Linked DNA regions of Drosophila melanogaster. The protein of the gene in region 1 purifies or fractionates together with the protein of each later gene. This does not show direct contact. Each region holds a gene or a part of one and is shown on either strand. Other genes may lie near its edges.

Region 1 (5,422 bases):
AAAATAATTCAAAATCCTAACAGATAACAATCTGCGCAACTTCTACCAAATAATTCAGATTAGGATAATCCTGGATCTTTTGGAGCTGCTCCCACAGAGGCTGCGAAGTTGAGTGTACACATGTGAACAATGGCAAATGTGAACGGTGTGTGAAGTAGGCACATACTTTTCCAGTGTACCACACTCGCTGGCTTATGTAACCTGTCGTCCAGGGGTTCATCGGCTTGGAGGGATCTGCAGAGAATGAGCCACCAAACACCATCGGACGGCAAACATTTCGCGAACTCATCTTCATCAGCGTGGCTGCTACCAACTTTGTCGCACGGGCATTCGCCCTCTGTCATCAATAGGCCGGAATAGTCGGTTTTTTGTCGCTCATCAGCCTCGTCAGCGACTGTGAAAAATGAACCCTCCTATAGTCAATTTAGTAGGCAGTTTGTGTCCACCTGTTGATTAGCGATACGAAGCCGAAATGACGCACCTGAATGGGGGGATCTGCGAATCCAGAACGGTCCTGGTTGCGAGGTTGCGCTAACGCCATGATGGCTCTCAAGTAGGAACCCTAACGGCTAGTCACCAGAAGAAAAGAAATCACAGCGCGGAGCTTATCATATCTAATTTATAGAATATATTTTGTATACTTTTAAAATAAAATGTTAAACTAACTATATTGCGGGGGCGAGTCCCCCTGCAATATACGAACAGCAACCGAAATCTAGATGGCAAATGAGGCGAATTTTTTTTTGATAATTCAGGCGCGTCTGCCAGTTGGCAGCTTTTGCATTTGAGGGGATTTTATTTTTATTTCGGCTTTGTTTTGCTATTGCTGGCCCAATTATTGTGTCATAACAATTACGCACGCACACACAGAGGCATAATGAGTTTCAGTTCGGTTTAGGCCCGGCTAAGCCGACTGAACAGCGAAAAGCAAGAGCCAAAGCCATCGCCGTCGCCATCACTGTCCAAAGCTGACCTAGTGGCAGACGTGTTAATGATGGATATGTTCAGATAGGCCACGACGTATAAAAAGCGTTCATTAAAGTTGCAAAAAAGCGAGGCAAAAACAAGCGAAGCCAAATGCTAATGAAAAAGAAGTTATTTTTGAACTCCCACAATTGTGTCAATAACAAGCAATTGCTATTCAAAGGACCATCACAGACTCTTGTGAGATCTGATGCAATGTTTACTCAAGATAGAAAGGTGCCACAGCGCCAAGCATATAATAAATTATGCATTAATTAAATGAGAGGTTACAGCCAGGCATTTTTCTGGCAAGGCAGCATCTGGCATGTGACCTTTTCCCGCTGCTCCAATTACACGACGGAAAGTGAAGTCCCACAAAGATGGAATTACGCCATCGATGGGCAAGAGACCTTCGCCGGAATCTCTCGACCACAATAAACCGAATTAACGACAGTGGCAGCCACAGCAGATCTAAGCTGTTCCGAGCCACGAAAATGATTTAGCGCACTGTCATTGAGTCCGCTGCCTCCGCCATCGAGTGTGAAGTGTTGACTTTCATCTCATTGTTGCCCCCGAACCCAATCCCAACCCAGTGCCCAGTCGAAACCCATCCCCACCCGACGCCGACCGCCAACTGCAGATCGTGCCCCAACGCAGATAGTCCTTCACTTTGGAGCGTGAAGGTTTCCGAAGAGCCTTTAATACACCCGCAGAAAAGGCCGTTTGCTGATTTCGATGATGATTTAAACATGATAATAAGGAAATGAAAGAAAAGAAACGAAAAAAAGAAAACCACTAAATATCATAACAAATCAAATACTTCTACGATCACAGAATAATGGTTGAGATATGTCCTTACTTTTCACCTGACATTCAAAGTACATGATGTTGATTTCTCTGCATGAAGCGGAGCCAAAGTTATTGCCGGTTTTGGGTATATGCGAAAGTGTGAGTCGAGATGTAAATAAACCTCATTTAGTCCAATTTACGGCAAGGTTCACTTCCACTTGCATGCAGGCGTCTTCCCTTTCATCGTGTGTCTTTTCTGCAACTTATGGTTGCCATCTGCGACTGCACAGGTGCTCATCCGAAGACATGACATAATGGGCACAATGCGGCCTCCAGTCCATCGGGGACTTCTTTCACTTCTGCCAGAATGAGCGCAGATATCTGGCTTTCGATCTTATTTCGAGGTCATTTGGTTGGGTTAAATTAAACGTGGTTAAGTTAACTTAACCAATATGACAAACTATGAGTGCAGGTAATATACATATTTAGCTCTGGCATTCCCAACTGCATACCTTCCAAAGCGTAAAGTGCACTTTTCAGGCTCTTGCGATTGCAGCACTCATCTGCAAATGTACAAACTCGTGTAATTACGCTCCTTGGGAAACATTAATTATACGCCCCGTGGTGCCATGGCCCTACTGCTCCACATCGAGATCGTACGAATTATACGGGCCTCGGGCCCGTCCCGGTCCCCGTCTCCGGCCCTCCTGACTCCCCCGATTCGCATTTCCCAGCCCATTTCGTAATCTTCGTGCCCATGTGACGCTGATGCTGATGGATGACGAGCCCAGGTTGCGACTTACCCACAATTGAAATGCAACTGCAGTTGGGCAACGGGAAACGCGAATTGCAGTTTCGTCAGTGGAGCCATACCTCATGGCCAAGAGAAATATGTTTTGGAAGCCGCCATGATCCTCCTGGGCTGTCGAAAAATCTCAGTGGCTGCGGCTGGGTTACTTACCTTCGGAATCGATCGCGGTGGTGGGAAAAATCACTTCCTGGTCCGCGCGAATCGAAGGAAAGTGCCAAAGAAAATTTCAAATACCAAAATCGTTAGCGACATTTTATTTTTTTCGGCCTTTTTTTCTTCTGCCTCTACGTTGTTTTCCAATTGGAAATTTTGTTTTATTGTGAGAAGCGCCCAGCAGCAAAAGAAACAAGTTGCAGACGAAGTTTGGCGATAATGACGTTGCCGAGTGGACGAGTTGGCCCGAAAGCTGAAGAGCAGCTGAGCACCGGCGGGTATAAAGAGTGGCTCTGCTGGCCGTGGAGATGCATTCAGTCGCTGGTTCCCCACTCGGAAGCAACCAAATTCACTCCACTCTACTCTACTCAACTCTTCCCCCCAACAAACACACTCACCCGAAACGTCGCTATGAACTCCTTCTCAGTGGTAAGTAACACACGATCCCGACGACCTCAAGACCCCAGACCCCAGAGCCGATTAAACCTGGACGCAAGCGGATTACACCCCTTACGGGATTTAGAAAGAATAGCCCTGTCAGACCGCAAACGCTGCAATTGGATTTCAAAAAAACTTCAATAGTTTCAAAAACTCTCCTTGTGCCTTAATCTATGGGATTTCAATTCACATTCCACAAAAAGACGCATTCGAGTTATTTAAGAGAATTCAATTGATGAGATCACCAGTTTGATATGGAATTTGCACTAACCTCCACTACCTACTTTCAGTTCTTAGTGTTCGCGCTGGCCGCTCTTGCTGCAGCAGAGCCACCATCCGGATATAACTATCCCCGCGGCGGAGGTGGTGGTGGCGGCGGATTTGGAGGTGGCTTCGGCGGCGGATTCGGAGGCGGACTAGGAGGTGGCGGCGGTGGTGGCGGCGGCGGCTACCAGGCTGTGAGCGGCGGCTTCCAGACGTCCGAGGGCCAGAACGTGGATCCCCAGCTTTTGGAGCAGGTGCGCCAGATCCTGCTGAACGAGGAGAGCAAGCAGGGCGGCGGTGGTGGTGGAGGCGGTGGTGGCGGCGGTGGTGGCTACCCCAGTGGCCCATCCAGCAGCTACGGTCCACCTTCCACCAGCTACGGAGCCCCCGGAATCGGAGGCGGTGGCCGTGTCGTGGGCATCGACCTGGAAGGCGTCCGCCAGGCCATCCAGGTGGCTCAGTTCGCCCAGCAGAGCTCGCAGCAGGGAGGTGGCGGCGGTGGATATCCCAGCGCCCCATCCGGATCGTATGGAGCCCCTTCAAGGCCCAGCGGCAGCTATGGAGCGCCCTTCTAGATCTTCGCACAGGTCTCACATCCGAAAGACACACCTCTGCCAAAAATGAATACCGACGGACACGAAACCGACAAAGACGACACCAACACTATACAAATTTGGGCAACCTGGATCTAATAATGGAACTACCGATCACCGATCCGCTCTGATCCCGAGAGAACTGGAGATCGCTTCCCCTTCTCAAGCCCTCTTCCCGAACTCAGCGACTGTACCCCAACACTCTGAAACGTCCGTTCCCCGGAAACCCCAAACAATTCGGGACTTCGTCTCGGGCCTTTTTGTAACCCTTGTAAATAGTTTCTCACACTACACGAATACAAGAAAACCCGAAAACGAAAGCCACACAACAACACCCACAACACCAAGATGGAAAACACCCCACAAAGTGTTATAACGCATTACTAGCTCGTAAGTGTTTTTATTTTATATGAAACAAACAAAGAAACAACAAAAAAATATGAAAACAATAAAAAAAATAGTAAATTTTGTCACCGTTAAATGATTGCAATATTTTCATTTCAATACCGTGAATCCATGGGAGTTTCGAAATTATGGCTATCTCGCCAAATGTCATTACATCTAATGAAACTGACCTCGTTCCGCATTGCTCACCACCAAAACACTCGATGATCTCGTAATGACAATCCACTCACATGGACCCACCATTCCAATTGATCGGACTCGCAGCTCTACGTAAGCCGAGTTGTCACTGGCCCCATGTCAGTGTTTTTAAATACCAAGCCAAGCATCTCCGCCAATCCTTTCACTTTTACACTCGATAATAAGGTAGCTTTAACCCCTGGCCTATCTTCACGTACACTGAGCCAATCAATTGGTCTTGTGTTATCACTAGTTGCAAATACTAAATTACATATATAAATGATTTAAGTTACAAGCTAATATAATAACATTATACTTAGGAAAATATCTTGCAGATACCAGATACATATGATCCATGTCTTTAACTGCTCATTGGAGGCAGGGTTGTAGCCCCTTTTTTGCTGTGTACGAGGTACTCTCAGTCGTGCAAGTGCTTAAAATGGAAGATGTGGTTGAAGATGGGGATGTGGATGGCAGATGGAGCCGGAGGGGCGCTCATTACGCGAACATTGCGACATATGCAGCCGAGACTCTGGGCCAACTGCAGCTGCTGGCGGGAAAGGCGATGGGGGAATGATGAGTCGATGGACATCGACAATTACCACGACCGAAGTTGGAGTTGTGGCCCAGAGCCATAAATGAAGTGGCAGCTGAATCTGAAGCTGTAGCCACTTAACCAACATTCGCATCATTAGATTTCCCAATTGAATGCGTGCCGAGGTGGCCGTCCTCTATGTACATATACATATATATGTACATACGTGGAAGTGCACCCAAAAAGCTGCACTATGAGATGCCTTATGATGAGACGCCAAACGAAGTGGAAGCT
Region 2 (4,997 bases), on another chromosome or scaffold:
GGCTTGGCTGCCGACACGACACTAAACAACGCGGCAAAATGTTTCGCTGCCGTTTGTTTAGCTGCCACTTGGCTCCCCGCCCCCCAACTGAGTCGACTCCCCCTCCCACTCCATTCCCCATCCCCTTTCTTGGCCTCACGTTTCGCCGACAATTGACACTTTTATTGAAAGCCTAGGCATTTTTCGCTTATCATGTTTTCCGTCAAGTCTATTTTCGGTCAAAATGTTGGGGCATTAAGCCAGTATATTTAATATTTTTGTATTGAACTCACCATATGGGATACCCTGAAAATTATAATTTTAAATGTCTTATAAAAAAATATATAGACATAAGAAAGAACGCTTGAGTCGATTTCCTCAACTATCAGTTACTCCTTACTCAGCCGCTGGAAGTGCAAAGAAGAAAGTTCAACTATATTTTTGGCATACTGAAATTATTAATATTTAATATAAATTGCAATTTACTATTCATATATTTCACTAGATATAACAGCATATAGTCCTATATATCCCATCGGAATCGGGATCATCGCCTAACGGGTTTCAGGGGTCTGCAGTGGGCGTTAAGGCGGATTTGATCTGAACCGCATTACTTTGCATGGGCATTACTTAACTTCATCGCGGCCATATCAAGTTTGTGCACATTTTTCTATTAATAATTGCAAGTGCGAGTGTGCGGCGATCAAGGCAAACCGCCCCTGCTCCAGATCGAGTAGTACTCTCGTTTTCAGTTCAAAGACCAGTTCGGTTCGACGGCAGTTTGTACTATGAGTTGGCAACAAAGTTGTCCAGCTGCCGAGCAACTGCGTCTCATTTCTGGAGCGGCTTTTTGTCAACGCCCCTGCTGTAGCGCCGGTCTGAGGCCCCGGAATTGATTAATTACTGGCATCGGTAATCGGCCATCGATCGAGATTGTTTTAAGCCATTTAGCTGTCCAATGTTTGCTGCACTTGAAGGCGTGGGAGTTGGGCTAAGGGTGTGGCTTCTAATTGCCGTTAAAAAAGGTGAGTCGATCCCCTGGTAATTGCGTAAAAATTATTTGAAATAAATATTCTGGGACCACGATCTAGATACATCTGCTAATGGCATATAAATAGTTACTTAAGCGCTAGCAACCGTAACTAAAACGCCTTTCAACTGTTTTAATAACATTTTTTTATTCAAAAAGAAACAAATTTCCATGTGACAACAGCGGGGTGGATAAATATAGACCAGAGAGTAAAGCGGAAAGCGATAGACTGGATAGGATTGACTTAGATTGCTGAAGAAATGAGAACCCAACGGGATCTCAGCAGAGGACAGACCTTTCGGTAACTTAAAAAACCAAAAAATGTGGTAAAGATGCGAGCAAGTGGCGGTCAGGATCAATGTAGGGGTAATCCAGAAGTCATTTCAGGTGATTACCAGGTGCCTGGTGCGGGTTCCAAGTTCACGGAAGCAGCGGACTGCACATGTCCTGGCAGAGGAGCCACATGGACAGCTCCACGGGTCTTGGCCACATAGCTGGCCTCCGGAGCGGCGACGGCCACCACGGCGGGGGCGTGGGCAGCAACCACAGCGGCGGGAACGGGAGCGGCAACCACCGCTGGTCCAGACTGGATGAGCACGGGTCCGGCTGGGGACAGGGACAGGGGAACGGCAGCGGGAACCGCAGATGCCTGGATGGCCACCGAACCGGCGACGGCGGGAGAACCGACCACCAGACCATGGGCGGAGGTCAGGAGAGGCACCACCGAGCTGTTGACACCCCAGGCCAAAGCGAACAGGACTACGACAACGGCGAACTGAAAATAAGAATCTTGATTTAGATGGAAACTCAGGAACTATGATAAAAATAACTTATTTGAAGTTTTTTTAATTTTGGAGTTTCTCTGAATGGGGTCGTAATGTGTTCAGCGATCTGATATTAATTTATGTATAACTCGATAAAGATCTTTTATGTCTACTTTTGCAGCATACCAATTTGTATAGAAATGTTTTACTAAAAACAACATAAATCCCTTCATGTTGTCCTTTTACATAACACTAGCTGTAACTAAGCTCCAGTTATCCGATATCCCTTCAATCTCACCTTCATGTTGGCTTTTGTGATCTCAGTGACGCTTGAAACGAAACTAACTGACATCTGCCCGTTGGCCAAGTGCTTTTATAGCTCCGATCCATAATTTCATTTAGCATATAAGGCCAGTTCTCGGATTGATCAGCCATGTGTATGTTTGCTGCACAAATGCGGAAACCGGGCCAGAGAACAAACCACGTAATACCTTCAGTCCCAACCCCAACCCCAACCCGAACCCCTTGACCTTCCCGAATCAATAACCACAATTCATTGACGACAATTCAAGTGCGCGACAATTAGCCACACCGGTTGACATGACGAAAACAAGACTGGTCTCATTTGATTCGGCCAATCCATAACCATGACTTCAATATCTGTATATGATATACACTAAAGCCATGTCTCGGGTGCCCCTAACAACAATGGATAGGCAAATTACAAGCCACCGCAGCACCACTGTGCCTCTGTACCACCATCGCCCCACACACATTCAGCACCACTGGCTGTCCATTTAAATTTCATCAGCAGAATGTAATTAAATTCACTTCGGTTAGCTCGCCCTGAAATTAATGTGCCGGCCGCCAGTTGTCGGCAAACTGATCCATTTTGGTCACCGACTATAGATTTCTCGATTGCATTTGCATATCACTAATGCAGTCAACGCCAACATATGTCCAGGAATACCATATAAAAATCAGAGTCCATATGTAGGAAACGATTTCACTACAAATATTACCAATCCTTAAAATATGAAAATTAAATTTTGTAAATTTTATTTGGTATTTAAATATAAAATAATGGTTTATAATTTAATATATGTTAAGTTATACCCCCTTTTGTAGAGTAATCCGTAATTGTATATATAGAACATATTTATTGATTCCATTAAGAAACGATAAGTAAATCAAACCACTTTCGCTTTTAAGTCGGAAAGCAATTCTACGTAATAAATTACAAAACATTTGAATATCAGTAGAGATTGTCATACGTTTAATTTTTTCTAAGTAAGAGCTGTACATTTTAGGGTAAATTTTTGTGAAATTAAAAATTTAACAACACTATATCTTTCATTTAACAGTCAATTAAAGCTTTTGTCAAAGCAAAATCTTCAGTCAGTATACACAAATAACTAATTCCGTTTCAAGCAAGCATACTTTATATTTTCGAGTACTATACTTGATGTAAAGAACTCCCACTGAGAAGCAGAATCAGGCTTGGTTCTAGAAAGGATTCGGAGGCTTTAAAATGGCACGCCTGGTGTTTACGGAGAAAGATCACAATGCATACGATCCCAAAAAGTATAAGGTAACCACTGCCGGAATACAGTCCATAAAATGAGCATTAATCTCCAACTTTTATGTTCATCCAAAGGTGGTGCACAAGAACCACTGGCGACAGGTCAGCCTGCTGCTGCAGCCTTCCAACAAGAAGTGGTGGGAGGATCCCGATGTCATTGTTGCGTGAGTAGAGAACATTGAGGGTCGAACCACCAGCCAGGTGGGCGGTGGGGAAGTTTGAGTGGTTGGCACACGTGTGTCAGAATTCATTGCCGTCAAGTGCTTTTCGTGCTGTTTATGGCTACACTGAGAGGAATACTTAGTAATTGTAGGTAAATCAAAAAAGGATTTTGCATCAAGTGAATAGGATTCGGAATCAAAAAAAATCTTTTGAATTTAATCTTGAAATACAAATTTATACCTTAACAACACAAAACTCCTTTCCAAAATTAGCTGCTTTTCTCCTGTGCACTCGAGTTGGCCAATTGGTTGGTTCGGTGACTCTGACACCGATTGGCTCCAATGCAGCGCGCTGCCATTCAATTAAGATTCTTTGCCACAGCCGCAGCCATAATATTTTATTGCATCCATCAAATTGTCAGACTTACACATAAAGTATTGGCCTGCCACACCCAGAAATATTTCCATGCCAATTAAATGTGCGATGGGGAAATATTCGCACTCAATTGCATCACATCGTCTGATAAGATTATTTATCACTAATCCATAAACTAATCCTGCTGCCCAAACTTGTCAAAAAAAAATCTTCTTCGGCTTGAGTGGGTGGTTCTAATTTCCGGACAACATTCAGTCACGCGATGCTAACGAAGTCTTTGATAGATGGCTCCAACTTCTCGAATGCAAATGAACACCCAGAGGCGCGAAGGGGAGAAAGTGCAGCCATCAGCTGTCGGCGAAACTTTGGCAAGTAATTGGGGAACAGGAGTGATGGAAACGGGAAATTGACTTGGTTATTCTCACTGGGTCGCCGGAAAACTCACGTTTCGCGGGTTGCCTTGCTTTATGTAGCACTAAAGTCGGGAATTGTGTGGCACCAAGGTTAAGATTCTTGCCAGATATGGGGTAAATTGAAACTGAACGGACTGTGTCCTTAGAAAACTGCGCACTTTTGAGCTTGCATAAAGCAAATACCGAGAGAAAAGTTAAAATATAAGGGTTCTTAAGTGATCTATTGTGAAAGAACTTTTGCAGTGCAACTAAAGTGCTTTAGATAATTATGCACCAAAGAAGATGCATTTATAAATCAATAGAAGAAAAAGCTAATTTAATGTATTCAATTTTCTATTAAATTGCTATCTTAGTAAAACCTCACTGTATAGCGAAGGTACCCTACGAAATGGGGCTAATGTCAAAACAGTGTGTGGTGGAGAAATCCATTGGGCAACCCCTCGCTCCATTAGCATGGGTTTCACTTGCCTTTTGTCTGGGCTGCGTATCCACAATGATGCGAGGTGCCAGGAGGCGAGGGCCCACCCAAAAAACAATCGCGAACGGGGTAATGAAAAGGCATTTGGGTGTGGGAAAAAAGAAATACCATATAATACACCAATGCAATGCCGACACTTTGCGTGTTCAATAAAAAGGAAAGCGGCGGCAGGCGGAAAATGGTGTCAGTGCGAGGACAACGAAGAAGGAAAGTA
Region 3 (6,474 bases), on another chromosome or scaffold:
ACTTAACCCCCCACACAAACACACATCTCTTGATTGAAGGAGTATGGAAATTGCGCATACGCAACGTGTTACGTGCTTAGGCACGCGGATGTAGGTATCTTATACAGACATTAAGCTTGCCCTCAGTATGCTTCAACTGGGTTTTCCCACTCAGCACGAGTTCTGACTTGTGAAAGTTGAGTGGCTCGAGGGTAAACCAACACGAGGAATAAGAAAGAGAATTATACTCAGATCGCTGGCTTAAGGCTATGAAGTTGGCCAGTTCCGCAATGATTCTATTGTTCCTATTTTTAAATTTGTTTGCAAACCATTATTTCTTCATTAGCCGGCGTTTATTGCGGCAACAAGTCATCTAACATTTATTTTATCATTCAGTCTCATTCATCAAGTCTTAAAGTTCACTTACCAAACTTGTCAAGAAGAAACCGGCATACAAAATAATTGTTATTAACTTTTCGTGTTCACTTTGTTATTTTTTTTTATTTTTGTATAATCCAATTTTGATGTCCAATTTATAGCTTCGAGTTAGCCGTTAAGACGTATCTAAACAATCAAGAAATTTGCATTTATGATTAATGAATTAAATAATATAGACAGGCACAAATTTTACACACACATCGGTTATGCTTGTTGAAATATTTTGCCGAAAATATTCTTGTTTTCACAGCTGTGAACATGTATTCAATTATTTGATTTTAAACGGTTTGATTTATTCGAGATAAATTTATTAGAGTTATTTTTGAACTACATGTTCATTAGGATTTTTTATACATTGCACTTAGTAGATTTATTGCTGAGTTATATAACGAAGCTTTTGTTTTATTATATAGATGTAATTTATAGATTTCAAATAAATACATTTGGTTAAATTATAATTTTTTTTGTCGAATTCACCACTGCCGTAATAAATAAATGTTTAGAATTTATTAAAGAAATTATCCTTTGTTTAACTTCTATTAATTAATTCCGTATATTTAAGAAAAATGTTTTCCTTGCAGTTGCAATTTGCTGTTGCTGACTGCACCCCCATTGAGTCAATGGTTCTTTTTCCATTTTTTTTCATTGCTGCTGCTGCTGCTGGCAGTCAACCGGTTTAACTAGTCAAGTCCGCCGCCGCCGCCAGACTTTGCACATAAATTGCATTTTATTTTAAAAACCCGGTAATAAATTGTTTCATTTATAATTAGAATTTTTGCCAAGCTGACAGTCCGTGAAATCATGTTTGAAGGTGCGAATACCAAACATACTCGTATGAAACTCCACTTGCGGGAGTTCTCAACTATTTTGTTATGGATTCGATATCGTTGTGGTTGTTGGTGCTGCCCCTCTGGTTGACCTTCGCATATTTTTCGGACAGGAATTTGTAAGTCGCTACGATTCGCGTCAGTTTATTGGCTCAATTGCCTGCAAAAACAATGAACGTCGACGTCGGCGATGGACTTGGCACCAAAACGTAAGGTGCGACGCATCGCATGTGGAAATCTTCGAGCACATTACGTTATTACGTTATAAGCGCAAAACAAAAGCGACAACCAGCAACAATCGGACAATGGGAAAAACAGACATTACAGTTACAAAACGAAACGGAAAATATGCGACGAGTAGCACACAAAAGACGCCGGCGCACAGTGGTACAGTTATTAAAAGGATGGTAACATAATAATCCTTATATTGACGTATGAACATTGCAAAATTCATATAATTGTTCTTAAAACATCAACAAACTAACTTTTCAAGCAAATATGAAAACTGAGAGTATAACAATTCATAAACAAAAATAATAATAATAATCTTCAAATATCTCAGAGCTTAGCCATTCTAATTGGTATCACTTCTTTTAAGATTTCATCATAATATCTGAAAAAATTGGGTAAAACTTTTATTGTAACTAGTCAGTTAGTTAGTTATTGTGACTAGTCACCTGGTTTTTAAAATATATTATATATGAAACAATACGGATTAGTGAAACGAATTATTTGCTGAGCCCAAAGTCACGATCCACAATTTTATGCTCAAGAACATTAAATAGCAATAACCCACGGTGCAGCAACGCCCCACAAAGCAAGTGAGGCATCAGCAGCACCAGCATCCAAGTACCGTATGCAGCACACTTGCTGTGCGCACTCTCACTCTCACTTGCTCTCTTTCCCAAGCTCCAACCTCCTTCCATCTTGCTCCAATAATCTCTCTCTCTCTCTCTCTCTCGCACTCGCTCACACTGCCACAGAGACTGCAGCTTTTATTTTCAAGTCCAACGAAAGTGAAATTGCTGGCGCACCCCTTTCCGCCCACTATACCCCTCTCTCTAACACCTTTGCCGGTGGATTGAGGAAATGAAGTAAACATGAAATTGACATAATCAACACGCAGCTGGAAACTCTGCAAATGTCTTTTGACGAGACAGAGACAGCAAGAGAGGCACCAAGAGCTACAACAACAGGTTTCTGTGTCGCCCTGTTGATATTGCTTTTGTTGCTGTTGCTGTAATGCAGTGAGAGAAAATAATTACTCGGAATTGTATGATTTATGTCATATATGAATATTATGAATATCTTGATATTACTTTTTGTAGTACTGTTATTTATCAATATAATCCTTACTAATATATTAATAAAAATATTAGTAACTGTTTAAAACAATTTTTTCCCGTGCTAGCTTTGTTGTTGCTGCTGGCGGCGTGTGTTCAATGAGCGCTGGTGCGTGTAAATATGTAAGAGTTGCCTTCAACCGGCTTTTTCGTGCAACTTTTTTTTTTAGTTTTTTTGTAGCAGTAGTTTTTGTTTTCATTTTTGCGCTGGTCAGTTTGGTTTGAATCATCTGGCCATATAGGAAATGAAACGGGAGATGAAGTAATCCCAACGCCTGACATGGAAATTACATAGGCAAAACGCATCACAAAAATCAACCTGATGCACACACGTCATACAAATTCAACGACAACTAAAAGGGCAGGCAGGAAAATACAGTAAAAGGAAGGGGTATTAAAAAAAATACGCTCTTTATGTACGCTTTCGCGGAAAATACAAAAAAAAGGTTTAAAATTGCTGGAAGTTGTTATAATCAATTTTCTTTTTCATGTTTTAATAAATATCGAAATATCAAAGGTTTAGTTACTCCTGTTACTCCTGTAAGGGTAATAAAACATTGTGTTGGGTAATACTAAAGGGAAAATGTGCATTAGAAATTACCAACACAATTTTCCCGCTCCCACCCACACATACACCCATCACACATACGTTTGAGGAATGGCGGACTCCCTCTTTAGATGTTTGGGAATTTTTTTGTTTGATCTATCATATTTTATTTTTAGTTCTCGGTGTCTTTTAAGTCTCGGCAATCAGTTTGTTACCCAAAAAAATAAATAATTTATTATCCATTGTTCAGCATTCTATTTTTGCTTGAGTATACCAAACTATTTATTTACATATCTTATTGAATTTTTGATAATATGGATTTTGGTATTTTTTTATTTATATTTCTACAGAGAAACTTTTATTTGTATTGCTTCAGAGAAACTTATTTATTTTTGTTATTGTATTGCACTGAATATTTCGCACTTTAGTTGCAAAAAAATAAATTGCAACATTTAATTGCAACCAAGTTGATTAACTTTTTTATGTTTAAGGCAAAAATTTGCTGGCTTTAATTATATTTTATGTGCGCGCAAATTGTTAAGGTTTTTCGACACTGTTGTTTGTTTTAAGCTTTTTTGTTTTATTTTTGCAGACAACCACGAGGAGCAAAGCATAAATAACTAGATGAGCTTCAAACTTAATACCGTTATTTGCGTTATTATAACGCGGCTTTTGCGGTTTCTTTTTGTTTTGGCAAACTTATTTCGGCTTGAATTTTCGATTTTTGATTTTTCTCCACTTTTACGAACACGGTGGTTTTGTGCATGGCATAACACACAGACAAAACAAAAGCAAACAAATAAAAACACAATTCGATTTCGTCTTCGCTGCCTCTCGTTGTTTTTTTGTTGCAACTGATTTAAAATGCGCAGGCGCGGCGGCGACTTACAAAAATCTGCGTCCGTTTCGAGAGCTTGCCGTCGATCAACTGAACGCCGAGAGCGGTGAGCAAAAGACAAAACCTTCCCAAAAGAGAGCAACAGAGCGCCAAAGCTCCAAAGCGATGGGAGCTTTTTGCTCGACCGCTAATTGCAGGCTTAAGTGAGTGTGAATTTATGAAGCAGTCATGTCGGAAAGTCAGAAAATCAAAAAAAAAATTATTAAAATAAAAAATATCAAAAAATCCGACAGGGAACTTGGGCTATATCGCCAGGGCTATTCCTGATCAGGGACCTTGTCCGACTCTAGGCTGCCACACTTTCCAACCGCAAACTGGTTCATCTTGGGCCTGGCCTCACACTAAATTCACAGCCGAGCGGCAAATTATATACTTTAATCAGCCGGGCGAGAATAGCATTGGCACCTGTCACGAGGAGAAATAATATTAGTATAAACAGCTGTGCTCCGAAAATATTAGAACTTGCATTGTTACAAAAAAGGAAACAAAATAAAACTCTCAAACGTAATTTTATCATCTGACATTTTAATTTGGTTGATATAAATTAAGGCCCACTTAAAATATTAATGTATAATGCATTACTGGACATAAAAACAAAAGATTTATTTATAAGGTAGTATGTTAAAATGAGACATTTATTATTAAACCAAAATAAAACTTAATGAAACGTAATTGCATTGTATAATCAAAAATGCAATCGTTATAATATCAAAATTTCAAATTTTAAATTGCAATTTCCACTTTTCATACAACATTCTTTAATTTAAACAATTATGTCAGAAAAAATAGGTGCCAAATATTGGATAATATTAAAACGAATCCTCAAAAACTCCATCTTCGCAGCATTCCAACTTAAAAACCCCCAATACTTTTTCCTTTATTTAGTTATTTGCCAGCTGCTACTATTGCTAATTCAATTAGCATAGAGACCCGTCTGGTAATTAATATTTAATTTGCTAATTGAATTTTTACTAGCGACTACCGTGCCACGCACCAACGCCAAGCCAAATCACCAAGTTAGCCTCCGTGATCTCTGTTTATGTCCAGTCAATCCATCCGACTTGTGAATCTCGACAGTTGCAAATTTGGCTGGTCGACGCCAAAGCCACTTTTCAGCCGCAGTATGCTAGATCTTGTTGTCTTTGCCTTAGTAGTGAATCTTTTATGATGTGCAAAATTAGCCATAAAAACATACATAAACAAAAATGTAAATATTGCTGTAAAATCAGTAATTCATTATACGTAAGGCTCTCTAGAGTTTAGCCGATGTACTTAGTCTTTGGATTTAAAAAAGTATTATTCTGTGTTTGGAAAAAAATGTGGTGCTTAAAGCTGGCTGAAAAACTTCTAAAGTCGTATAACTATTTTTACAGCATGCAATTTATAAAGGAAGTATCTAAACTACTGAAATATTTACTTTATGTTAAAAATGCTTCGAAAAAGGTTTTTAAAACTGGTGTTTAGTTTTTTTTTTTTGCTTATTGGCAAACGGACTTCATCATAATCGATTCCCTAGCTACGAATAAACTTCCGCTACGCAGTCCAATGATTCATTCCCATTAAAATAAATATCTTGGGGCAAACCAATTCTTTTGACTGCTCTCACAGTGAATTCGTACACATGTTTAGTCACCACGAGTTCGTCGCCAAAGTCTTTTGTTCTAGCGTCATTTATATGCAAACCTATCACCTTGATGGGCGATAAAAACCAGAAAAGTCTGAAAAACATAAACAACAGCATCCCGGACCAGTGCAGCAAAGCGGTGACCACAAAGTTGAAATTAACGAAAATTCGCGCGGCAAGGTCAGTTCAAAGCGGTCAACGACTGCAGGCCGCACGGGAATGGCCAACATGAAATGCCCTTTTTCGAACAACAAAAATTTATCGATTGCAAGCAGTAAATAAAAATTATTCAGCAATAAAAGCGAAAAAAAAAAATTAAAATTAATCACTCGACAAGAGGAGATAACTTCTGAGCTACGCATAATGCGGCTACCGTTTAAGACTTAAATGAAAATATAAAAAACAGACACAAAATCCGGATGTGTCGCGATGCCTACGGATTTGGCGCGCCCAGACCGAGGACGGTCGTTGGTCCCTGGGGCCACAGAATCGCCGACGAAGTAGACCACAAAAAAAAACGACGGACACCGTACGTGTCCCATATCAGGAATGCAAACCACGCGGCGGTCACTTTCGGTTGGACATTGTTTCTGTTATTGCCGATTTTGGAACTGCTCGACTGACTCAGTTTCGGCGAACCTCCACTAAAAGCATTCATAACTCAACTGCCAGCTGTCAGCGGCAAAAAGAAGAAAAAAAAAAGCAGATACAAAATATCCCCAGGTTTATACCACGAAAAAAAAAGGGAAAGGGCAGTGTAATGGAAAATTATAATGGAAATAAAGCGAGTGCTGATGCTCTCGGAGTTACTTTGCAAT

The links.
Region 2: the proteins of CG2150 (region 1) and CG7203 purify together in Drosophila melanogaster (affinity purification with mass spectrometry, with the first as the bait; one large-scale study listed by BioGRID). This does not show direct contact.
Region 3: the proteins of CG2150 (region 1) and mol purify together in Drosophila melanogaster (affinity purification with mass spectrometry, with the first as the bait; one large-scale study listed by BioGRID). This does not show direct contact.

What each region holds. Positions count from the first base shown.
Region 1 is NT_033777.3:31,762,371-31,767,792, reverse strand, and holds CG2150 (uncharacterized protein), read left to right. Parts: upstream 1-3,020; 5' UTR 3,021-3,127; coding exon 3,128-3,145; intron 3,146-3,444; coding exon 3,445-3,993; 3' UTR 3,994-4,489; downstream 4,490-5,422.
Region 2 is NT_033779.5:7,751,031-7,756,027, forward strand, and holds CG7203 (uncharacterized protein), read right to left. Parts: upstream 2,157-4,997; 5' UTR 2,078-2,156; coding exon 2,072-2,077; intron 1,785-2,071; coding exon 1,401-1,784; 3' UTR 1,140-1,400; downstream 1-1,139.
Region 3 is NT_033779.5:14,993,493-14,999,966, forward strand, and holds the start of mol (moladietz), read right to left. Parts: upstream 4,068-6,474; 5' UTR 4,024-4,067; exon of another isoform or gene 3,222-4,023; intron 544-3,221; 5' UTR 407-543; intron 1-406.